Xenopus tropicalis: one gene and its partners. The protein of the gene in region 2 interacts with the protein of the main gene of each other region in a pairwise test. Links are inferred from orthologs where the notes say so. Each region holds a gene or a part of one and is shown on either strand. Other genes may lie near its edges.

Region 1 (6,312 bases), on a different chromosome or scaffold from region 2:
CAAACTCTTTCCATCTTCCCCCTTACATTGTTTGTATGTAAACAAAACGGTTATAAAAACAACCAATAAACATAACATTTCAAAATAAAAAAAAAAATACTACTAGCCTACAGTTGGCTTGGCTTCTTATCATTAAAACTGAAGGTGTTATAAAGGTAACATGACAAAAAAAAAAAAAAAAGAAAAAAACAAACAAGACTGCTTTAAAGGTTTTACAGGTTTTTGTGTCAGTCTCATCTGCTAGTATTTCCCCCTATTTCTGAATGTATGGTGACAAAAATGGTTTTACAAAAATGTTTTACCTTTTATATCATAGCTATAAAGATTTTCAAAGCTCAGCATTAGGACAAACTCAGCTCTTATTTTAGCATTATCATTTTTCCCCAGAAAAAGGTCCCTACCCTTTCTCTCTTTTTCCTACCCTATGAAACGATTAGTGGAACTGCAACTCTCCTCCAAACTGTAAAGTTCTACTGTATCCCCAATATCAGATATAAGATCTCATACCCAGTGTTTATTTGTACATCATCTACTGTGTAGAACAGTAAATAAAGCAACTATGGTGTGGCCCACCTGCTTCTAGCTGCAACTCCTTTAAATCTTAGATTGGGCAAATTGTGATTTAATTCACAGCTAGAGGGACATCTCCTGATCATCTGCGACAGCTGGAGAGCCCCCTAGTTCCACAAGTACAGCTTTGATAGAAGCAGTTATAGCTCTGTGACAGATGGAGGGCACACTGGTCACATGGAGGAACATACTTTCTTCACATTATCCAATAGCATACATCAGAATTGCCTGTACACTTAACTGGAAGTAGTTATTCGGAGATAGCAGGAAGCCCGCCGTCTGATACATACTATTAAATAATTACATATTCCTAAATGTGAGCAGTGGCCCCACAGTTGTTACAAAAAAAAAAAGTCTGTACTATTGCCTAGACATGACTGACCTGAATGAAAAGTGTGTGACAGTTTAATCAGGCCAGGCACAGAGAGTTCTGCCTGTCATTCACTGACATTACCAGGTTATGACAATAAGCCGGTGGCTCCTCTGACTCCGAGACGTTCCAGGAGAGGAAGTGAAGGAGAGGGGCAGTGCTTAAACTAAAAGGAAAACTAGATCTAAAAAGGTATGCTAAGCTATACTAGCATGAATATTAGGCCAAGTGTAAAACCAAGGTAATCGTCCCCTTTAACACATATTTATAAACATTCCACAGTGCCATACAATAAATGGGTATTAAAAAAAAAACAAAACACCCACAACTACAACCGATACAAAAGACAGAGGGCACTGCCAAAAAGTTTCCAATCTAATATCTACAATCTTACAAATATGTATCAGAAACCCTGTAGACTCTTGAATCTTAAAAAATAAAAGGCTACCAACATGGACAACTTTAGGAATCATTTAAGCACTGCAAGAAAGTTGCTTAAGAGGCCTCCCAGGGACCCTTCTCTGCTGCCCTGAGTTATTTCAAAGATATGAAGGGTTAACCCCCCTCACCATCTGTACCCTCCTTTCTTTTATCAGGGGCTGTCACATTTCTCTGGCAGCAATCTCACCTTCTGCCTCTGATGAATACTCTGTAGATGCTCCAGGTCACCATTTATTTTCAGAATCTGTGTTTCTACTTCTTCTTTGCCTCGCATATTTTGGGAATTTCTTTGAAGTAGCTCATGAATACAGTTGATGATAGACACCAAATGCAATTTTCTTCCTTCTCCATTCTTGGATACAACTTGCACTGTTGGAAAGCCTAAGGTTCTAAGCTCCTATTTAGAGAAAAACATGTGTTATCATTCATTTTTTTCTGGTGGTATTTCAACTGTTAACAGCTTAGGTGTCCACAGAAAACATCCTTCTAAAGTAGACACAGGCAGAACTCAGAAACAACCTGTGTGCCAAAGCCCTTACACAATATGGGACCCATACCTGATCAATGTATGTAATGCACTGCTCTAGGTTGTCTTCGGTGCAGAAAGTATAAACGCTGTCAGACAGGTTATTGGCTACAGAAAGAGAAGGGGATTGTAGAAGACTTGGTGGAGAAACACGCTCAGAACTGTACTGTTGTAAAACCTTATCTGTAAGAAAAAAGATTTTTAGTATTTGGTATGTTTTCCATAGCTTATCATTTGGTATATTTTTATGGCTTAGAGCAAGTTAAGACCTCTCCACAGGTAGGGAAACAACTGGCTTGACACCATAGACATTTTCCTGAACCCATTATTTAGCAGAGATACAATGGGCAGCCAAAATTTAGGGCCTGTGCATATCCCTAAAGTGCCACAGAAGGGATGATTCCAGGCAAATGAATGTCTGGGTGTACCACTCTCAGTGTGAATGTGTTCTCCAACTCAGTGGCTTGTGTCTCCCTGAATTTCTGGCAGTGGGACCGTTTTAGATGGGGATAATGGCAATAGTACCTTTCAAAGTATATGGATTAGTAAAATAACAGGCAGATTAAATGACATGGAGGGTCGAACTGAGGGCCACAGCTAGACAGAGAGAGAGGCTACATAAACGTAGAGAAAAAATATATATGAGCATTAACAGAATTCTGTACTATGTTGTTAAGTTGATTATTTGCTCAATTTTGCATGGAAATACCTGATTCTGGCAAACTGATGGTTCTCCGGTCTCCCATAGCAATAAACATGAAATGAATATTATGGCAAAGAGTAGACCATGCAAAAGTTTGAAGGTATTACAGTCAAGCAGCCATTTCCTGGTGAAGTAAAACAAAAAACATTAGGATATTCATTCTGTACATTACTACATTTATGAATTAAATAAGTAGGAACTAACAACATTTAAATATTTCTGGGGGGGGGGGCTTCAAAATAAGCATTGGTTTAAAAGCAGTCTCAAAAACCACCTGCATTTACTGTACATATGGTATGTGCAAAAATCCACTCCAATCCCACTACTAAGATTAGGAAATAAAGGGTATCTATTCTCTATTCTCAAAGAACTGATTCCCCCATCAGAGGTGCAGACAATAGTTTGCTTCCTTAAAAATGCCCCTCTCCAGTGCAAAGTCACTTGCACCAAGATGGAGCTCCTGGTGTAGATGGCCATGTTTGGCAACACGTATGTACATAAGTGCGTCTCCCCACCAGTTTATGCGATTGATTTAGAAGCAGTGGGCATGCCCATGCTATTAAGTTACACCTGCCCTATATGTAAAGTGACAAACAGGTCCCCTCCTGTCAACATGTGCACATACTGAGCAGTTTCAGCCCACGTCTGCCTCTTTTCTGTCAGCAGAAAAAACATATTAGGCCTAAATTGCAAAGCCAAACAGAGGATGCAAAGAGCAAAAAAAGCTGCAATCTGCCATTTTTTAGCACTGGATCCAAATGCCAATACAATTTGCAAAAGTGCAAACTGTGTTAGTCAATGCAGGATCATAGAGGCAGGCAGGGGGAATAGTACAGCCCCCTACACTAACTTACACGTCATTAGTTCGTACACGGTAGGCAGCAGCAGGAGGTGCAGCCCACATCGGGCCCCTGTCCTTACTGCCTCCTAATGCTGCAGAAACTCCACACCTCCCTTAGCATTCCTACACGTGTACCCCCAGGAAGTAAACGACACCTATAGTATTCTATAGCCCTAACTGTCAATGCCTTTTACATGCATTTTCTTTACAAAAAAAACCTGCAAAAGTTTGCATCTGAGCCTCCCACAAATCAGCATTTCATGATCACATCAGTTTATGAAAGCATGAAATGGTCTTAGAACTGTATGTCTATATAAGTATTTGAAAAGAAAATCTACTGATTGAATTTTAAACTGAATATGTGTATTCTAAGTATTTCAACCTTTAATAGCAGGTGCTTGGGTTTTGCATCTCCCTTTGGATTAAGGAGGTCAGAGAGGAAAGATTTGTTCCATAAATAGATAGATGTCCAGTAACAAGAGAAAATCCACTTAAAGCTGCTACATTTTGTTCTTCTAATCCCCTATACAGATGGCTGGGCACAATTAGCTGCATACACAGGCTAGCTAGGTTTTAAATATCACTGACGAAGAAGAGCAGGCACAGGTTCCATGTCTTTTGTTTTGGTGTAGAAAGATGTGAACATGTGGAAGTTTTTTTTTTTTTTTTTTAAATTGCATACCCTGTAAGGAGAGTTGTAAATGGAATTGCAATAGAAAGCAGTATTTGACTCTTGAAACAATTCAGCAGAAATCAATTATCCTCCAAGTCTAATTCAATTTATTCAGTCAGAACCAGTGCAGATACTGCTTTCAACAGCAATTGCATGTACATATAAGGGAGAATGTTTAATTTAAAAATATTAATACATACATAATGTAAAGTTGCATAGTTTTTTGGATGGAGACCCCCAATTAAATGCTTTCAAGTTGCAAATTAATGTTTTCTTTAAAAGTACATGATATCTGTTACTTACAGTATGTGAAAAGCAAAGAAGAACACAAACGTGAGCAAGCAGCTATCTTCTACAGCACATAGCATATTGCACTGCATGATAAGGAGTTTACACTAAGCTTGACACAAACAGAGACCTCTCCCTTATGTTAAAGGTCAGTTAGGTCTGAACTGAGCTTCAAAATAGTCCCTGGTACAGTATGTTGAGTACACAGAGCTCTAAACAGCCCCTACAAGCTCAATAAGCAGCGACTGTCTAAAGCAAGGGTCCCCAACCTTTCTTACTCGTGAGCCACAGTCAAATGTAAAAAGATTTGGAGAGCAACACAAGCATCATAAAAGTTCATGGAGCTGCCAAATAAGGGCTAAGATTGCCTATTAGGTAGCCTCTATGCACACTATCAGCTTACAGGAGGCTTTATTTGGTAGTAAATCTTATTTTTATTCAATAAAAACTTACCACCAAGTCAGGCATCAAAAAATAACTACCTGGTTTGGGGGCACTGAGTGCAACATCCAAGGGGATGGTGAGCAACATGTTGCCCCCGAGCCACTGGTTAAGGGATCACTGGTCTACAGCATCTCACAGCAGCCCCTCTGGCATTTGCCAGTACCTACAGATTGCAAGTCCAGGCTTGAGGTGAGCTATGAGATCACAAGGGAAGCCAGGCTTGGCTGCAACTAAATAATAATGAACAAGCATTTAGAATGGCTATTATAATTTACAGTTCATAACAGGGAATCTGTATCTTGTATACAGGTTGACCCTATAGAAAGTGCTTTATGGCATTAATAAAACATATTAAGGATGTCATCACCCCATCTTCCCAGGCCCGGTGCCTTGGGGTTATCCTTGATTCTGACCTGTCCTTTACGCTTCATATCCAGTCACTTATCAAATCATGTCACTTTCACCTAAGAAATGTTTCCAAAATACGATCATTTATCACCCAAGATGCTGCCAAAATTCTTGTTCACTCTTATATCTCGCCTGGACTACTGTAACTCCCTATTAATTGGCCTTCCCCTCTCCCATCCATAATGAATACTGCTGCCAGGCTCATACACCTCTCCACCGCTCCAATCCCTGCACTGGCTTCCCCTACCATCCAAGATCCAAAAATTCAAACTAATGACTCTCACATTCAAAGCAGTTCATAACTCTGCCCCACCCTACATCTCTGAACTTATCTCTAGGTACCATCCAACCCGCTTGTTATCAGGCCCGGATTTGTGGAGAGGCCACAAAGGCCCGGGCCTAGGGCGGCAGAAGTTTAGGGGCAGCATGCCGCCCCGCCGCAAAAAAAAAATTTAAATTTGGCTCCCATACGGAGCAGTCGGGACCTCTCCCCACTGCTCCGTATGGGAGTTTTAAGGAGCGCATGCGCACTGGTGGGGTCGCTTTCGCGCATGCGCACTGGGGGCCGCGCTTTCGCGCATGCGCACTGGTGGGGAGGGGGCGACCGACAGGGGCGGCCTCGGGGCGCCCAAAACAGAAATCCGGCCCTGCTTGTTATGCTCCTCTACTGACCTGCTCCTCAAATCCTCTCTCATTCCCTCCTCACACACTCGCATTTAAGATTTTGCAAGAGCTGCCCCCCCTTCTCTAGAATTCGCTCCCACAAACTGTCAGACTTTCTCCCAATCTCTCTGCCTTCAAGAGATCTCTAAAAACGCATTTATTTAGAGAAGCTTACCCTAATCTAGTTTAACATAACCTCAGTATGCCGCTAAAAGCAAACACCTGTGCCACACCTCTCACAACTCTGTCACGCCCATTCCCACACATTGCATCTCAACCCTTTCTCCTTGTAGATTGTAAGCTCTTTTGGGCAGGGCTCTCTTCACCTATTGTATCGGTTATTGATTGCTTTATATGTTACTCTGTATGTCCAATGTATGTAACC
Region 2 (6,312 bases):
AAGTTTGCTTTGGAAAACTGCCACTACATGTCCAGAATGCACTCTACTTATTGCATACGCGTATATACACACAGACACACATAGGAAAGAAAATACAGATGCAGCACCTCTGCAAAGCTCATTCTGTTGGCTTGTTTACGGATTTCTGTTAACCCCAAACGTTCCTTCATTTTGCGGTACCTAAAAGTAAGCAGGAACGAGACAGAATTAGCACACAAACATATGCCCATTACAGAAAAAAAGACCATTACAGCAGCAGCCCCCACCTGCGGCCTCCACGTTTCTTTCTTTGTCCATCCAGTGGAGCAGGAAGGGGCTTCACTTGTTTGACTGGTGGAGGTTCTTGCCATTTATCAAATTTTCTTTCAATCTCTTCTTTTAGGTCATATCCAACCTACACAGATAATAAACACTTAAAGCTACAAACCATAGCTAACAATATGTAACCTAAGTACCAAGCAACCAGCATAAAGACACTGACCTTTCCTTCTGAACTCTCATGAAAACTATCAACACGTGCTGCCAAGGTACATTTTGCAGATACCAGTCGTGCTGCTTTTCTGTGCAAGTCCTATAAGGGGAAAAATAATAAGCATCACTCCCCTTTAATGTAAATATAAATCTACAAGTAACAAGCAGGGCAATATTCATCTTACTGGTGGCAAGGACTGGACAATGTCGCTGTGATAAATGTATCCTGTATGTGGCAGCACCGAGGTGCTGGAGAAACCAGATAATGTTTTCCTCTGAGCTCCCAGCAGCATGACATTACAAGCTGGCATCTTCGAGAGATTGGTAAGACCTCCAGCAATACCTGCAATTGATAATTACAGAAAAAAAATATATATTTTCAAGTGACCCTGACACATGAAATAAATAAATATACATAATTAAAAACCTTTCTGTATCGTGTGTTAACCATTTTATCAAGTGAATAGAAATAAACTGACAAAGCAGAAGAGCAGCTAACTAGGTCAAGCAAATGACGCCTCCATACTTTCAGCCAGTTTGGGAAGGAGGGGCCTGCAAGCCAAGCATTGCAACCAACAAATATTGCGTTCATACAAACAAACAAACTGGAAGTTCTTTACTGAAAGGCCCTCCTCTAAACGGACTGTGTAAAGTTCCCACTACCACCCAAGCAAGCTACCCCTGTGCTGAGATATAGATATATATGGAGAAGGAAAGTTTAAATCACTGGGTTAAGATCACTTACCCAATATCCTGGGCTGGTGCTACCTGTTCTGTAAAAAGTGCATTGGCCCGGGTATTTCTGCAGAAAATCCTTGTAGCCATCGATCCATGGTGCATGCGAACTGAAAAGCAGACTCTTTTACACTAGAGCACATTTGCATGCCCGTGTCCAGTGTGGGGAAAAAAAATTGTGCCAAAGAGCTTCTGCAGAAGTAACCCTGGGACAGGGCAGTTTTCTACTAACAGGAGCACCAGCCCGAGGTAACAGGTAAGCCATTACACTGGGGGGGGGGTGCCTAATATTTGGTAATTTAGTTTTTCCTTCTCCTTTAATAAATACTCTTAGAAGCAGCTATTGTGTGCCCTAAGCTGTAAATAAAAGCATTTTATCTATTTACTAAAGTTCTGCCAATGGTTTACAGAACAGATTTTTTTGTGCAGAAGAGTGAAGATATAAAACAATCTTGGCTAAAATAAAAACAAACACTATGACACTTTACCCATGATCTTGGCAGCAGTGGAGGCCCCGACAATGATGGAGAGGTTAGGAGCAATGAATGACATACGAGATTCCACATACTCATAAATTCTGTGTTTGGATTGGTTGAGTTCTAGCGCCATATCACACGCTTCTTCAATTCGTTCCAGTTCTTCATCTGTTAATTGCTGCCTGTGTAGATCAGAGGAACTTACTTCTTATTTTCATCCCAAACACTGAAAAAGTTATAGTATAGTAACAGATATATGAACTTACCCCTGAGTTGTGGAGGCTGTCACACTTACAACCATGATAGTTGCATTGGTCAGAATTTGCTGAAGATTCTCATTGTTTTTGCATTTATCCAGATTGTTCCCTAGCTCCTACAACACCCAAATAAGATGTTATTATTTTTGATATTTATATAGCGTAAACATATTCAGCAGCACTTTACAGAGATAATATACATTCTCATCAGTCCCAGTCTAAGGTCCCTATAAGTTTCAGGCATAGTAGGGTCAATTTTATCAGGAACCAATTACCCTCCTTGTATGTCTTTGCAGTATTAAAAGAAAGCAAAGTACCTAGGGGAAACCCACACAATACTGATGATTTTGTTAGGCCCCAAGCTAACCTAAAAACTGAAGAAAAATAAATGTGAAAGTTCATAAAGTGGTGCCATAAGTAGTTTACTGATGTCACCTAATGCTAAGTTTATTGTCACTTCATGTACCCCATATATGTTTATGGTTCATACATTTTTCATTTAACATTTTAAGAAAAGTTTGGGTCCAGCTTAATAAATCTTTATACAAATTACCTTCTCTATTCAGTGTATGTTCCTACATACTGTTATACTACACACTGTGTATCCAGACATCACCATTATACCATAACTATATACACACATGCACAAAATACAATCCCCCTTACTGAAAGACACACAAACTAACCACTTAGTATCCTCATGCACACAAATCACCTACCTTCACAGTCCTTATATAATCCAAAGCATTAGGAACTAAGGACTCCAGCTCAGGAAACCTCTTGGAATATTTGTCCCGAATAAATTTGTGAATGATATCTAAGAAGATATAATATAGGTTTTAAGAGCGTACACTCCCATATATACTGTACACAAGTGCTATAGATGTTCTAACATAGTATCTGCAGTTTCCTATACAAAAGGGTTGTACATAAATGTAGCACTTATTTTACTAAATCATCACCTCAGATTATTGAAACATTGCACTTTCTACCAACACGGAGAATACAGTCAGATGCACTTACTTAGCTCATTTTCAATCTCCACAGTCAGATTGTTAGCATCAACGATAACTTTGTACTCTGGAGCAGCTTCAACAGGGCCCATTACTAAAAAAAATAGAAACAGAATAAAATTCAAATTACCAGTGCAGTCAAAACTACATTCTTGCTTTGTTTCTGTTTGAGAATCTATATGCAATGTTGCTGTTTGAACCAGTTTACATCAATAGATCACATATATTGCTAATTTCACTGGGCTAAATGGAAGGTCGATGAGTAACAGCATTCATTCATTTACATAAACGCCTCCTCGGGAAGCTAATCATAAAACAAACACAGGCATATTTAGTCTGAATATGCTTATATTTTCCAGAATTCTTACTTGTGTCACTTTAATGAAACACAGCAGTATGCCAAACCAATGAGTTCATAGAGAAAGTAATGAAATTAACCACTGTGCCAATTTATAACTATACCTTTTTATATGAAGAACTGGCAATATACAATAATTTGCAGTCTGCCATCATTCATCTCTTTTTTAATAACTGGGAAAACTGCAGTTTAGATTTAAAAACGAAGAACACTTTTTTGAAAAGATGTGTAATAAAACATGTAATATAAAATACCAATTAAAGTCTAGCCTCCACATCAATCTGTTTTGTATACCAGGGTTATGGATATTTCAAATTTCAGGCATGAGTGAGGCAGAATAAGTCATCCCATTCAATAACCATTAACATCACACCAAAACATGAATTATTATAATATCTTTCCCTTAAAGCCACACAAACTCATGCAGCTGCCTTTCACTCTACAGCACAATACAATGTGAGTTTCTTTATATTGCAATCCTTTTCGGTTGGTAACTCTTTGTCTCTGTTATTAACAGTCCACATGAAAATTATTTGAAGATATTTTAGGTACTCTGGCTTGAAATTTTGGAGTTAATGCCATGATTTAAATGATACCTTCAGAAGCCTTTGGTTGCTTTTTGATGTATCCGTCAATCTTTAAAAGGATTTCTGAAAACTGAAAAAATGCATCATTTATTTCACAATGTGGTTATAACAGACTATATAGACATTTTGCTCCATCATTTTAAAAATTTTGTTTTCATTTATAAATATATATCAGAGAAAAAAATAAAACCCCACACATTAATATGTGTTAGAACCACTTTTTGCAGCACAGAAAGCACTAAGGGGCAATTTTATCAAAATGAGAGATTAGAGCTCACCAAAGAAAAATTAAGACACTTTCTATTCATTTTTATGTGATTTTTAGATTAATAGGTGAAAGTTAAAGTTCACCACTTGATAGATGCACTTACGAAAATCCCATAGGAATGAAGAGAAAGTGTGTGAATTTTTCTCTGGTGAGTTCTAATCTCACATTCTGATACATCTGCCCATAAGTGTTTGTGGGTAAGTAGGTGCCAGTTTTGTACACTGTTCCATTCATCAGCCATTCTTCCAGGCAGATTAGCTATAGGTTTTACAAGTTAGTAACTTGCCAACAAATGTAGCCCTCAACTGTAAGATGATCCATACCTAAAGTGAAGTTTGTTGGTGGCAGAATCCTGCTGTGGGCCTGATTTTCATCAAAAGAAACTTTGCATATTTAATGTAGAGCAGAAGGATGTAATGAGGGGAGGGAGAAACAACGCTCAGTTAAAGAACGGATATTGATCCAATAGAGAATCTATGGCAGATATCTGATCTGTGTCATCTGAGTACAAAGCTGGCACATACTTAACCCATACATACTTGCTATTGCTGCAAAATGCTTCCATAGAATATCAGAGTGCAAGGAAATAGCACCCCTACCCTTAATGCGGTGGTGGAAAAACCAATAGTAGAGACATCAGTGGACAAAAAAAAAAAAAAAACAACTGAAAAAAAAGGAATGCATGTTTTTGCAAGCTGTATCCTTATTGACCATTAAAGGCATTAGTCCATTTGCTGGGTATCCAAGACCTGTCTCGCATACATTGGAAACAGGTTGTGAATTTATCCTCCTACTTTTTATCTCACGATGTTTTGACAAATTGCTTATTTGTGCATATAGACCTCTTTCATATGGACTTAAGCACTATAAAAGATCACTTCTTACTACTACACTGTTTTTTGCAGCAATGTACCAAAGTATTTTGAGGAGGGGTCTGTAAGTTCTGTATTCTCTTAATATGTCTCAAGAGTTAAACATTAGATATTTTTTGGTTCAGTTGTTTTTTTTTTTAGATAGAACACCAGAAATAAAAACTTAATACAGTTGCCCCATCCTTAGGCTGCCCCAGGTAGAGATAAGGTGAAAAATGAAACATCAGTTTCAAAAAGAAAAAGTGTAAAATATAAGGTGTATACAGAGCAATATATCTAGATCACAGACTCACCAATTTACTATCCGATAGCTTGGCAATGCTTTTTACTGATTCTGCATTTAAGTCCACTTGCATCTCCTCCTGCACCTCTTCAATGGTCTCCAAATCATCTTCGTCAATCAAGTTCTCCTCTTCTTCTTCTGCTGCCTCCTCAAGGTCAGCCAATAATTCATCCGCCAGAGACATCTTGTATTACTGGAAAAAAGATATATATTTGCATCTCCCTATTTACATTGGTTTAAAAGGTGCCAAATAAAACTGCAAAAGTCCCAGGATCATCCACTGCTCATTAAATAATCAGAGATATGTCCTTTCCTACTAAGAAGACATCCAGTTCATTTGATCTTTATCAGTTAAACTTTTCTGCAAAAATCCTACCCGGCTTTTTCACAATGCTCTATGCCAGATTCTCAACCATTGGCTCATGAACACCTTGCTCTTCCACCCAGTTTAATGTTGCTCCCAATGGCCTGTAGTAGGTGCCCAATTTTAAATTTCTGGCTTGGAGGCAAGTTTTGGAAGCAGAAAGACAGTTTAACTCCAAGCAGAGCCTCCTGCAGGCCGGCAGTCCACATGGGGCTACCAAATAGCCAATCACAGCCTTTATTTTCCATCCCCAAATAATTTTTTTTTTCAGGTTTGTGTGGCTCACCAATACTTTTTACATGTGAATGTGGCTCACAAGTAAAATGCTTGAGAATCCCTGCTCTATGCAGAAAAGAAGGAAACAGGGGAGCCTGCCCAGTCAGTATGGCAGGATGAACTAATCAGCTAAAGGAATAAGGGTGTTTCTTTAAGCAATGGAATAATGCTGCCACAAGGTAAAGCTTTCCCATACACCCGAAAACAATGCTTAAAGGGGTGGTTCACTTTTAGGTTAACTTTAATTGTGTTACAGGATGGCTTATTCTTTGCAAATTTTCAATTGGTATTGGTATGTTTTATTTGTACTAGTTTTTAGTTTTTGAATTATTTATCTTTCTTTTCTGACACT
Region 3 (6,312 bases), on a different chromosome or scaffold from region 2:
TCATAGGCACAATCTTAACTGTGTGGATACAGATTTAAAAGGCATTCTGAGTTTACATCATTAATAATGTCCCTTCCTTATAACATATTAACTCTTTATTACAACTGTTAAAACTCACTCTGTACATCATTCAATGCATCTATAAATATTGCTGTATTTGTATCTATGTTTGTGCATAACTAGAAGAATTAAATATTTTTTAAATAGATGACAAATTTCTCTTTCATAGAAATGAACTATCTTAATATCCCAAAGGGGAAAAAATCATGCCCTTTGCCTTTCCATACAAATATCATCTATATACCATTTATAGACGACAATGGCACAGTGTCATAATAACTAAGTTCATAGACCGAAAGGGATTGAACATTAGGTGGGATGTGAGTTGTCATGGGTAAGCATTGCTTAGAGGTAACTATTTAGGATTGATATGTCTTTAAATAAAAAGAAAGGCGAGAGGAGAAGTGATAAAAAAAAAAAAAATGAAATGGCATAGGGAAGGAAAAAAAAAAGTTGTTTTTTTTCTTTGAGATATAGTTAATTCTGGGAAAAATAAAACCTTATATTCTAGCCATTTAGGAATATGGGTTGAGTTCATTATCTAGCCAAAGACCAGATTTGGGGTTTTTAAAATTTCTTTTAAGATCATATACATTTTAGGTTATTTTTACCTAAACATTAAAAAAATAGTATCACCCCACTTTCCAGGTGTTTAATGGACCAGCAAATAAATAGCTCCATCAACAAAAAAATCAGTTAAATGTAGGGGTACCTTTCCAAAGACAAAGGAGAGATCTGCAATGGATTTTTTTGTTTTGATTTTTTAATTAATAACAATAAAATAGCACACGCTGCCCAAAACTTATTTTTGCATATAGTAATAGTATATTACAGTAATAATATAGTAACAGTCTCAGCAACTTTCCAATATACATTACAATTTTTAATGGCTTTAAAGTTATTTGTAAATGTAATTCCACAGAACTTCTTGACTGAAAATTTGTAATTTATGTTGAAGTTTATATTTCATTCCCTGCTTCAGAAGATTTCCTGTCTTGGAATCAGAAGCGACTCAAAAGTAGTGCATTTTGCAGGTTAGGGTCAGGTGTGCATTTTACGTTTTAGGGTCAGGTGCCGGTAGTTTTTCCTCACCCACACATCACTTATTTCCTTTCATTATGCAAAATACATTTAGGGGTGAAGGACTCCTTTTTCTACAGTTTTTTATAATTAAAGTACCAAAATTCAGCCTATTAAAAGGATTGTTCACCTTTACGTTAACATTTAGTATGTTATAAACAACTTTTCAATTAGCCTTATTTTTTCTTCTTCTGACTCCAGCAGCCAATAAACTTTTGTTCTGTATAGCTACAATTTTATTGTTATTGTCACTTATTATGTTTCTGTTCAGGCCTTCTTCTCCTTATTCACATTATAGTCTCTCATTCAAACCACTCCCTGGTTACTAAGATAATTTGCCCCTAGCAAACAGCTACTGAACTTCCAAACTGGAGAGGTGCTGAACAAAAAAAAATTAAATAATTAAAAACTATAGATAAAAAAAATAGAGATCAGTTTCAAACTGTCTCAGAATATCACTCTCTACAACATACTAAAAACTAATCTAAAAGACACAAAGGAAGGGTAAAACCTCTACTCTATGATGATGAAATACACCCATAATAAGAGGCAATGAAATGGCAACCTATTTTCTAGCAAAGAGGGGTGCTGCCACCTAGTGTTGTGATAAAGGTTATTTGTAAGAGCATTTGCTAGTGCACCACCACATGCAAGCCCACCAGCAAGTGACATTTTAGATCAGGGGTGCACAAAAGGTAGATCGTTTGTCTACCAGTAGACCACTTTAAAGTTTTGGGTAGACTTTGAGGTTGAATGCAGTAGGACGACATCCGGCAACTTCATTTTCCCCCCCAGCATACTGGAGCTTTCGAGTGCGGTTGCCCAAGCCTTCCGTCTTTGATTGTCCCAACCAGGCTGCGCTATATCTATATCTATATCTATATATATATATATATATATATATATCTATATATATATCTATATCTATATCTATATCTATATATATCTCTATATATTTCTATATCTATATATATCTATATATATCTATATTCCTCCCTGAGGAAAGCTCCTGTGTGGAGCTGAAACATCGGATTAATAAAAACCATGTAAGACATTTGCTTTGTTAGATTCTTTTTTGTTTTATTTTTGACAAATACTAACGAAAATCCTGTGAGTGCTAGCCTTTATTGCAATTGTACTTTATTATTTGATTTGCATTAGCACCCAGGCAGTGACCCCTTTTAGTCTTGTAAAGAATCGGCACTCACCAATATCGGGGCAAAGGCTGGGTGCTGACAAAAATAATGCATCAAACTCAACAGTAGAAAGCACTCACAGCTACAGCATCAATCAGGTCAGTGATTTATTTCAGCATACCATCTACGCGTTTCGATCACCACAGGATCGTCATCAGGATGATGATATATATATATTTGTTCCTACTTTATATATGTTTCTGTGTGCAGACTACAAAGTGGGCCATAAAGAAGGGAAGTAAAAACTACTACAATCCTTCCACATTGAACTTGAAGTTGGCACTTGAATAATGTTATTTGGGCATTAAATATGAAGTTGGAACTGCATTTAAATATTGCTATGTGTCATCGATTGATACTTGTTTATTGTGCCAAATGATAGACGTTGCACAATTTTAACTGTGGTAGATCTCATGATGGAGGCCAAGTGGCAAGAGTAGATCACAGGGTGACAAAGTCTGGGCACCCCGGTTTTAGATCATCCCTATCTGTTATCCAGAACCCTTGGGACAAGGAGGTTTACAAAGGGTATAAAAAGAACTGTTTTGCAATTAATAGGTATTTATTCTAACTTGGTTATCATTACGCCAATGTCTAATTATAGACAAAAAGCAAATCTTTAAAACAAAAAACCCCATAAACCCTGTTAGTTGAAATGAAATGGCTTTAAAGTTTTTCTGGAGTTTTCTAGACATCTGTTTTCTGGGTAACAGATGCCAGAAATTTATATGTTATAGGATATGTTATGAATCTCTCTTACGTGCATGACTTTCAATGAATTTGTCGTGTTCATATGGCCCCAATATCCTGGCAAATCTCCTCATTGCTTCATAAAGCTCTTGGACATGCTTGGGATACCGTCGTTCTAAAACTAAGAAACAATAACAAAGTATGTTATTCAATAGTGTACAGAAGGAGACATTCAGACACCAAAAACAAGTGCAAGAAAATATCATATAAAAGCAACATATTGCTATCACTTCATTACTAGGATTTTAAACATGCCAATAAATATATCTTAAAGGGCACCTATCGTATCAAAATCGTTTCCCTCACCATGTGGGCTAACAGAGTATTTTTTTCAAGAAAGCCCTCCAGACATGCGCTATACACATTCCACCACAAGGGAGTTCCTGGTGAGGAGACCATGTTTCGGCACACACGTGAACACGAGTGCTCAATATATGCATGTGTTTGACACAGAATCGACTGAAAAGTCTCCAGGACTTAAATTCATTTGTGTCTGCCATACATAGGCAAGAGACAACAATTGAAAAACAGCAAGTTGCAAAATATCCTATTCTTAAAATGTTTTTCCCTTGGACATACCAGCTGTTGCGCTGTCAGTCAGTGAGGTTACTTGGCCATAAAGGCAGCTTATACAATGAGAAATAGAAACATATTCAATACATAACCCCCAACTTTTAAAAAATTTTTTTAAACATTAGCTAAATCCAATAGGATTGTTTTGCCCCCAAACAGATTCATGCTGCTTAGTTAGAATAAAATACATAGTACTATTATTATTACAGAAATGAAATGGTTTTTTTTAAAAAGGACTCTATAGTGTGTAGGGTTCTCATCCGTCTCCATTTCCTGAGGACAGGCGCCATTTTGACACCTAGATCCGTAGGAAACATCCCCATTTGCTGCCAATAACACAAGTAAATCTGACAGACAAAGGGGTTATTAATGGTTAACTTATCTATATTTGAAGGTAAAATCTCAATGTATTGAAAGCCTTAATTACTTAAGTCAAATATTAATAGTTCCAGCAAGTCATGTTTCTGCCTTGCTACAGTATGTAAACTTTCCATTGTTTGTGGTGTGGGGTTGTGGATTCTTTTTGTCCTTCAGGTTCAAAATTCTTTTCCTACAATTTATGCATGTATATAAAAATTAGGGGTGCACCAAATACAGGTTTTCAGTTTCTGGATTTGGCCAAGATTCTGCCTTTATCGGCAGGATTTGTACAAATCCATGCTCCTGGTTGAACTGAATCCTAAAAATCATGTGACTTTTTGGCATTTAATCACGGAAATTGAAAATATCTTGCCTCGCTCTGCTCACAGCGAGATTTAACCCTTCCAAAACCTTATTAGCATATGTTAATTAGAGTTTGGATTCGGTTCAGCCGAATCCTTTACAAAGGGTTTGGGGGTTCGGCAGAATCTAAAAGTGGATTCAGTGCATCCCTAATACAAACGAGTGGAAAGCATGGAATCTTATACATAACTTAAATGGCAAGCCATCTTAATGTATTGCTGACAGGGTTCTAATAAGTTCAATTCGACCATATGTTTAAAGGAGACATATCCTATAAAAATTATGAATGTTCCAATGAATTATACTCCTCTAGATATAGAAGGATTGGGCTTAAAAATGTTGTGTTTCGAACTGATTTTTTGAGAAATTCCACAAAAACCCCACTAGCCTCGCCCATCTGTTCCACTTCCTGCTGGCTGAATTCTCTGGATGAGCTGGGGAGCCGGCGGCCCTCCGTACACTGCACTGTAGGATAGGAACCAATCAGCAGCTAGGCTGACCTGATAGGGAACTGAAGCCTGTCTTTGCTTGTGTGAGTGCAGGGCTGTGATTGGCTCTCCCCCTCCTACTGTGCTTCTGGCAGGGACCGTTAGGACACACCCGCTCTTCATTTCACACTGGACAGAGAAGTGATACGATCTATAGGGAGCTCTAATAAAGGGGCCATTTTTACAGATAGGATTAATTTTTAGCCCAAAGGGAAACCAGCACCGTATATTATTCATAATTGCCTACAAAATTAGCGTTTTTTCCCATTTATCCAATATGTCTCCTTTAATAATTACTAGCTGAAGATGTGCTTCTCCATATGTAGAACAGCAGAAGCCTAGGTTTGCTCATAGCTAGTGCAGAGATATCATAAAGCTATGCCAGTATAGGCCATTCTTCAGTTTTTCATCATCAATTTTAAATCAGAGATAAACAAACCATAATTTTTGGATTGACTGACCAAATACTGAAACCATGAATTTGTGTATTAATTCGAAAATATCCTTGCAGTTCAGCCAAATCCTAAAACAAATCTTGGATATGGTGCTACGCTATTTGCAAAAATGCTACTAGATTAAAAATTTATTAAGCATAAATGTGAGGATAAAAGAACACTTACTTTGAAATTTCCTAAGATTTATAAGGCCATGCTCTCTTATAATTCTGAAATGTGAAAACAAAAATGTATTTTAGCAAGTCTCTTTTCTGTAATAAAACAATGTTTCAATTCCAAGGCAATGATTGCCAAGCAAAAAGGGGATGTAAAGTCATCCCTTTAGGTTAAGGATTATGATAGAATTTCTAAAAACAAGAAACTTTCCAATATACATGCTTTGTTTTATTCTCACTGTTCTCTAAATAATCAATTGATTTCCTTTGCTGCCACAGGCAGCCTCAGTCAGTCCATTGCTTTGTTGCTGCAGTAATCCTATCCCTCTCTTATTGCTCAGTCCTCTGTGTGCAACAGGAGCCAATCAGAGGCAAGTATGCTCGTTTGCTGCCTGTGTATTCTCTGTTCCAACTGGCCGTGGCTACACTGAGAGATAAGAACAGCCCGCAATTGCCCAAGTTTCTTGTACAGCTGAGGCAGGGCTGGCTGAGGCTGCTTGTTATCTTCACAACTGTAAGAATAAAATAAAGCATGTATATTGGAAAATTGCTGGTTTTTACAATAATGGGATGAGTTTACATCTCCTTTAAAAAGTAGATTATGATCTACCACTAGACCTGGTGTTCAGCATTATCTACCAACAGTACCATTAAATCAGTGATCCCCAACCAGTGGCTCATGAGTAACATGTTGCTCCCCACTCCCTTGGATCTAAGTAACCTCAAAGTAGGGGCCCCATTTTTAAATCTGTGTCTTGGAAGCAAGTTTTCAAAGCAAAGCACATTTTTTAGACAGTTTTACTCCAACCAGAGCCTCTTACAGGCAAAAAGT
Region 4 (6,312 bases), on a different chromosome or scaffold from region 2:
AGTTAATACGTTGTATATTTGGAAATTCCCAACAAAAAGCTGAATGCTATGACTTTTAAAATACAAATTTAGGACATCACAAATAATGTCAGATCCACGAAAGGTTAAGAAGTTCTGGGCACTTATTTTACTGTGTAACTCATCACATCAATGAAAAATATTTAATTTCAGGATCTATGTGCTGTCACAGTATAAAAGACAAATACCTGTAGGTATTAATGCTATATATTGCTCCCTATGTTAGATAAATGCCTCAGAATCTAGGTGCAATATAGTATATTGGTCATGTAGGTTATTGTCCATAAAGGGACATCAGCACATTTGTAATTTCTACCTATACACTTAGGGGCTGATTTACTAACCCACGAACGGGTCGAAATGAGTCCGATTGCGTTTTTTTCGTAAAGATCTGTATTTTGCGTTTTTTTCGTATTTTTTGCGATTTTTTCGGCGTCTTTACGAATTTTTCGTTACCAATACGATTTTTGCGTAAAAACACGAGTTTTTCGTAGCCATTACAAAAGTTGTGTAAAATCTTGCGATTTTTCGTAGCGTTAAAACTTACGTGAAAAGTTGTGCCTTTTTCGTAGCGTTAAAACTTAAAAGGTGCGAAGTTTCGCGTAAGTTTTAACGCTACGAAAAAAGCGCAACTTTTTGCGCAAGTTTTAACGCTACGAAAAATCGCAAGATTTTACACAACTTTTGTAAAGGCTACTAAAAACTCGTGTTTTTACGCAAAAATCGTATTGGTAACGAAAAATTCGTAAAGACGCTGAAAAAATAGCAAAACATACGAAAAAGTCGCAAAATGTTCGTTTTCAAGTCGGAACTTTTCTAATTCGGGTCGGATTCATGGGTTAGTAAATCAGCCCCTTAGAATGTTGTACTACTTTTACAGAGGCACCTAGTTGATACAGTGTTTGGCTACGATGATGATTCTATGGATTCAGAAACCTCTTCTGTTGCTTCATATCGGACGGATCGAACACCTGCAACACCAGATGATGATTTAGATGAAGTAAGAAAAATGTCCTTGCAGATTACCCAAGGGTTTTTATGGATTTTCAGTACTGTATTCTGGATATATTTAGATGCCATTATGGCGGCAGTGAATGCACACAAATAATTAAAAGGCACTTTAAGATTAAGCTTCAGCCATTGTTATTTGCATTGACACCCTAAATATCAATAACAGCATAATGGTCAAGAATTTTGGCAGGTGCTAAATCAGATCTCACTTACAGCTTATACATTGTTGGAGCTCACCAATGCCCTCAAAACATTATTCCCTACTTTGGCCATACACAAAGGGGCACATTCATTAAAATATGACAGGTCCAATTACAAAAATTTTTTATTTTTTCCAAAGTTTACAACTTTTGCGTATCTTCTGCAATATTTACATTAATTTGCGCAACTTTTTTGTACTTTGCGACAATTTGTGAGACAAAATCGTATTTGTTGCAACAAGTACGAAGGTTTCGGATTCATTCAAGCTTCGGTATTGTGACTTTCCTTGGGCCAGGTTGGAGCTGCAGAGTGCCATTGAGCCCTATGGGAGACTTTCCTTGGGCCAGGTTGGAGCTGCAGAGTGCCATTGAGTCCTATGGCAGGCTTCCAAAATCATGCACTGAAGGTTCAGAAAGTCAGAAAGGTTTTCGCGTCGTTTACGATCGTTCGGATGCGAAAAGTTTGTAACTTTCGGATCGTTCCAGAATATATTCGCCCAAGCACAACACAAATTTTTTGCAAAATTATTGCACATCAGAAATTTTTGTATTTAATGCGAATTTTTCAAATCGTATTCGTAATTCATACATTAATGAATCTGGCCCCAAGAGTATTTTAAATGATGGAAGATCTACCTCCACTGAAGCTTCTGAGGATAAACACACTAGAAAGCAGTAGACACAAGTATACAGTACATACAAATTTTCATTACACCTTCCTCATGCTGTGCATATTTCACAAAATAACTCTAAGAACTAAATATATCTCCTATATCTTGGCTCCTTTATATGAGGCCACCCTTTGCTATTGGAATTTTTCCATGTTCAGACTAAAAATAATGTAGTTGTAGCAAGAATTATGTAAGTAGAGACCATCTTACAACTGATATTTTCACCTGTTGCATTTTCAATGAAAGGTACATTCACATCAAATCTATAAGTAATTATTTTTTGTCTATTCAAAGAACCTTGCAGCGGAGGAATCAGAGCTGCGATTTCGGCAGTTAACAAAGGAGTATCAGGCACTGCAGAGGGCATATGCATTGCTGCAAGAACACACAGGAGGCTTTACAGACGCTGAGAGAGAAGCAAAGGTATATCATGTCATTCAGATTTAGTACTGTGCCATTCAGTACAACCCCATCTACAGCTTAAATATTTGCCTGTGTTGAATTTCTTATTTTTATTCACATTTCTTAAATATGAAAGACATTTCTTATTGAAACACAAACTCCATGGAGATACCCAGGAAAGAATTCTTCTCTGTAGTAATAACTAATTGTAGCCAAATGGTATCAAAATGTATCATTTGTTGTATTTTATTAAAGAGGGAAAATGTTCAACACTGCTGAAGCCCATATATTATATAGATACTTTTAATAGGTCAGAAAGGAAGAATATTTAGATTTACTATTTTTGAGCAATAAAAAAAGTTTACGACTAACTAGATCTGATGAATATTTGCTGTGCTATGTGATTTACATCAAATACCTTTTTACTGAAGTGTATGGCAGCCTGTCATACTATTAAGATAATTACATTTTATTAGGATACATTTCACTTGGGTGTTGCTTTCACACAATAATGACACAGGGGGCTCTGTGGAGCAAAATACAGTTGCCTCTTGCAAGTCTGGACTGGGATTTAAAATAGACCCTGGCATTTAAGTACACAGAGCCATAACAGCCCTCATTGGCCCAATAAATAGTGACTATGGCATCTTACAGCAGCCACTCTGGCATTTGCCAGAATCCACAGATTGACAGTCTGGGCCTGAATTTGTGTTACCAGTAAAACCCTTGTCCTGGGGTGGATAGAGACTGCCTTGCTGGCTGTTGGTTTACCAAAAACATTTTTACACTGATCATAAGTCAGTTCACATGGAAGCTAATGGAAAGGATAACTTACATACCTTTGCTGGTTGGACTCTTCCAAAAATGTTGTCTCAATAACAAAACCATAGGATTTTTTGAAATATTACCTGCTACTATAACTTGAGTTACCCATTGGGACATATACTTTATAGCAAGTGTCACATGCTGTGTGAAAATGAATGAGTAATAAACGTGTGCAATGTATTTCGTAGGCGCAGGAGCAGATGCAAACAGAAGTTCTGCGCTACAAAGCAAAGGTTGAAGACCTGGAGAAAACACTGGCACAGAAGGGGCAGGTTGGTTAATTTCACTGCGTATATATTTTCTAAAACTGGTATTGTTAAGTAGATACATTTAATAAGAAAAAATAAAAGAGCACTTTTTTATATGGGCTAAAACATCTGTAACACAACAAAAGAGAGGAGGATGTAAATTCACTATCCAATAAGCTTTATAAGAGTCTTGGAACTTCAAAGGATGACAGGATATCAGAACCTTAAAAGAAACAGAACATCTTTCTAGTCATATGGAATTGTCTTCAAAAGAGAAGTACTAATATAGAAAATCTGCCATGTTCATTCTGAACAACTGTATTTTTTAGCTACATCATCATGGTGCCAGAATCACCTCTCCAGGCTTCATCTATGGCAAAGGGCTATTCTTCATATAGGTATCCATTTAAGAGTACAGGTTCCTAGAAAATGTACACATATTTTTATTGTTTTCTTATATTGCTAATGAGATAGCAGCAAAGCAACCACAGCCACACTAACAACCTTCAACGGTATTAACAACATAGGAGCCCTGTGTTGCCATGGGCAGATCCAAGGACCTGGGGCCTTATGACAACTGTGAAAAAATAATTTCTCTTGCGTCCTGGGGGACACAGGCACCATGGGGTTAAATCCCCTCCCATCAGGAGGCAGGACACTGTATAATTTTGATTTCTCTCCCCTATATAACCTCTTCCCCCACCCAGGTACCTCAGTTTTTTTAGTGTCCTCGCAAACAGGAGGTTGGACAGAAGAGTCTCTAGGAGACACAACTTGAAAGGATCACTACGGTTCAGGGCTTAGCCCTAACACCCGGGGTGGTACCTGAGGCAGCCTAGGCTGCACTCGCTGCGTCAGCCCCCTACGCTGGACGGCTCCTTGAGCCTGCTGCCTAGAAAAGGCAATGTACCCGACGGCCGCCCCCCCCCCTCCCTACAACGGGGGCCCACGGCACAAACCCGGGATTACAGAGGAGCATGAGGTCCCCTCTAGTCTCTTCTAACCCTCCGCACCGACCACAGGTAGCGAGAGTGAACAGGGGTTTACAGCCCCTCCTCACACACGGGAGATCCCAACCTCTCCCCCATACCTACATCTGGCAGGCGGAGGGTCAGGGTATCCTCCGGCAGCCGCCCCTACACTCTCACACGGCGCGCCTGCTGTGACGCAGCCGGCGAGAGAGTGAGGCAGAGGGAGCCCGGCAGGTAATGGATGGTACGCGCCTTCCGCACCCTCAATAACCGCACCGAGACTTCCGGCCGTACCGCCGGAAGTGCGCGCGGCTCACGTGACCTCCCCACATTCGCGCCCTCAGTCGGCTCCTCCCCTTCCGGCATCCGACAGAGCGCGCGCTCGCAGCTACGCTACACGGCAGCCCTGCTCCCAACGCAGTCAGAACGCCACAGGTCTCTCACCCTCCATATCTCCTCTTCCCTCTACCAGGCACAGATACGGTAAAAGGGTCACTAAGCCAACATGGCTGAGGGGTCAGGGGATGCACTATTCCTCAGAGGGGGGAAACAGGCGTCCAAAGTAACTTTCTTTGCATGTACTCAATGCAAGAAAAAGTTTAAGGTGGCACAAAAAGACCCAGTTTGTAAAGCTTGCACCACTGCTACCACGGATGCAGAGCAACCCACGCCACAATTAACAGACCAGGGGGAGAATGTACAGGCAGCACTACCCTCAACATCGGGCAATGTGGCTACAGAAGCCCCTGAGGCTCCAGCCTGGGCAGTTTCACTATCTAATTCCCAAGCTAATCTGCAGGGAATCCCACTATTAGCATCATCTCTAGATAAAATCCTAGACAAACTAGCATCTCCTAATGTAGTTAAGAGCACATCTAAACGCAAGTGCCCATTACCTAATGACTCTACTGCACCCTCCTCACCTGAGTCCCATTCGGACCAGGAAGGGCTCAGCGAAGGGGAATTATCCCACTCCGCATCAGAGGGCGACTCTGCCTCAACCGCCCAGGACTCTGCCAGGTCACCAAATGACCTGATTGTGGCAGTCCTTCAGGCCCTTAACATTGAGGATACTGACAAGGGGGCTAAGACCTCTAAGGGTCTATTCCGCAGAACGGCCTCGCACGAAATAAATTTCCCAGCCCATGAACAACTCCAAGCCATCATCCAGGAGGAATGGAACCTCCCGGAACACAAGTTCCAAGTCACCCGAAAATTCTCAAAACTTTATCCCTTTCCAAAAGAGGACCTGGGAAAATGGAGCACCCCACCTCTAGTGGATGCTCCGGTATCGCGGTTGTCAAAAGCCACCGCCTTACCCGTCCCAGACGCATCTGCCTTTAAGGACGCCACCGACAAAAAACTGGAAGGCTTCCTTAAAGCTATCTTTACCTCTGCAGGTACAGCCTTTAGACCCATTCTTGCCATGGCATGGGTAAGTCGGGCTCTGGAAGTGTGGTCTGACGCCATCCTCACCGGTCTACAGAGCGAAACTGCCATCGAGGACGTCGAGTCCGTCGCACTACACATCCAAGAGGCGAGTTCCTTCCTCAGTGAGGCTTCACTGGATGCCCTGAAGCTGCTGGCCCGCACATCCGCTCTCTCAGTAGCCGCACGCCGCTCCCTGTGGCTTCGACTATGGTCGGCTGACCTTAGCTCAAAAAAGTCACTTACCTCTCTTCCCTTCAAAGGTTCCCGCCTTTTCGGCGAAGAACTAGAAAAAATTATCTCACAAGCAACGGGGGGCAAAAGTACACTGTTGCCCCAGCAAAAACCCAAGAGCAGACCCTCTACTACATCTTACAAGAGACAGCGCTTTTTTCGAGGCCAAGGTACGCGTTTCTCAAAAGGATCACCTCCATCCAGATCCTCCTCTTCTGCCAGAGGTGGGCCCACCTCCAGAGGCAGAACAACCTGGCAGTCTCGCAAGACATTTACCAAGAACTCTAACGAGAAGAGCTCCTCA

What was found. The genes of interacting proteins can lie anywhere in the genome.
Region 1: the proteins of prpf31 (region 2) and ssx2ip interact in binary tests that used the Homo sapiens proteins (3 or more experiments, as listed by UniProt). The two-hybrid records come from large-scale screens. The link is inferred for Xenopus tropicalis from reciprocal best matches to the Homo sapiens genes PRPF31 and SSX2IP.
Region 3: the proteins of prpf31 (region 2) and tada2a interact in binary tests that used the Homo sapiens proteins (3 or more experiments, as listed by UniProt). The two-hybrid records come from large-scale screens. The link is inferred for Xenopus tropicalis from reciprocal best matches to the Homo sapiens genes PRPF31 and TADA2A.
Region 4: the proteins of prpf31 (region 2) and jakmip2 interact in binary tests that used the Homo sapiens proteins (3 or more experiments, as listed by UniProt). The two-hybrid records come from large-scale screens. The link is inferred for Xenopus tropicalis from reciprocal best matches to the Homo sapiens genes PRPF31 and JAKMIP2.

What each region holds. Positions count from the first base shown.
Region 1 is NC_030680.2:77,496,649-77,502,960, reverse strand, and holds part of ssx2ip (afadin- and alpha-actinin-binding protein), read right to left. Parts: intron 2,735-6,312; 5' UTR 2,666-2,734; coding exon 2,617-2,665; intron 2,091-2,616; coding exon 1,939-2,090; intron 1,779-1,938; coding exon 1,569-1,778; intron 1-1,568. UniProt on the Homo sapiens protein: Belongs to an adhesion system, which plays a role in the organization of homotypic, interneuronal and heterotypic cell-cell adherens junctions (AJs).
Region 2 is NC_030683.2:104,950,976-104,957,287, forward strand, and holds part of prpf31 (U4/U6 small nuclear ribonucleoprotein Prp31), read right to left. Parts: intron 5,514-6,312; 5' UTR 5,505-5,513; coding exon 5,331-5,504; intron 3,968-5,330; coding exon 3,907-3,967; intron 3,047-3,906; coding exon 2,963-3,046; intron 2,757-2,962; coding exon 2,659-2,756; intron 2,056-2,658; coding exon 1,949-2,055; intron 1,865-1,948; coding exon 1,695-1,864; intron 815-1,694; coding exon 657-814; intron 572-656; coding exon 482-571; intron 395-481; coding exon 267-394; intron 181-266; coding exon 108-180; intron 1-107. UniProt on the Homo sapiens protein: Involved in pre-mRNA splicing as component of the spliceosome. Required for the assembly of the U4/U5/U6 tri-snRNP complex, one of the building blocks of the spliceosome.
Region 3 is NC_030678.2:76,082,508-76,088,819, reverse strand, and holds part of tada2a (transcriptional adapter 2-alpha), read right to left. Parts: intron 5,535-6,312; coding exon 5,491-5,534; intron 3,208-5,490; coding exon 3,097-3,207; intron 1-3,096. UniProt on the Homo sapiens protein: Component of the ATAC complex, a complex with histone acetyltransferase activity on histones H3 and H4. Required for the function of some acidic activation domains, which activate transcription from a distant site. Binds double-stranded DNA.
Region 4 is NC_030679.2:43,573,200-43,579,511, forward strand, and holds part of jakmip2 (janus kinase and microtubule-interacting protein 2), read left to right. Parts: intron 1-898; coding exon 899-1,018; intron 1,019-2,194; coding exon 2,195-2,323; intron 2,324-3,315; coding exon 3,316-3,399; intron 3,400-6,312.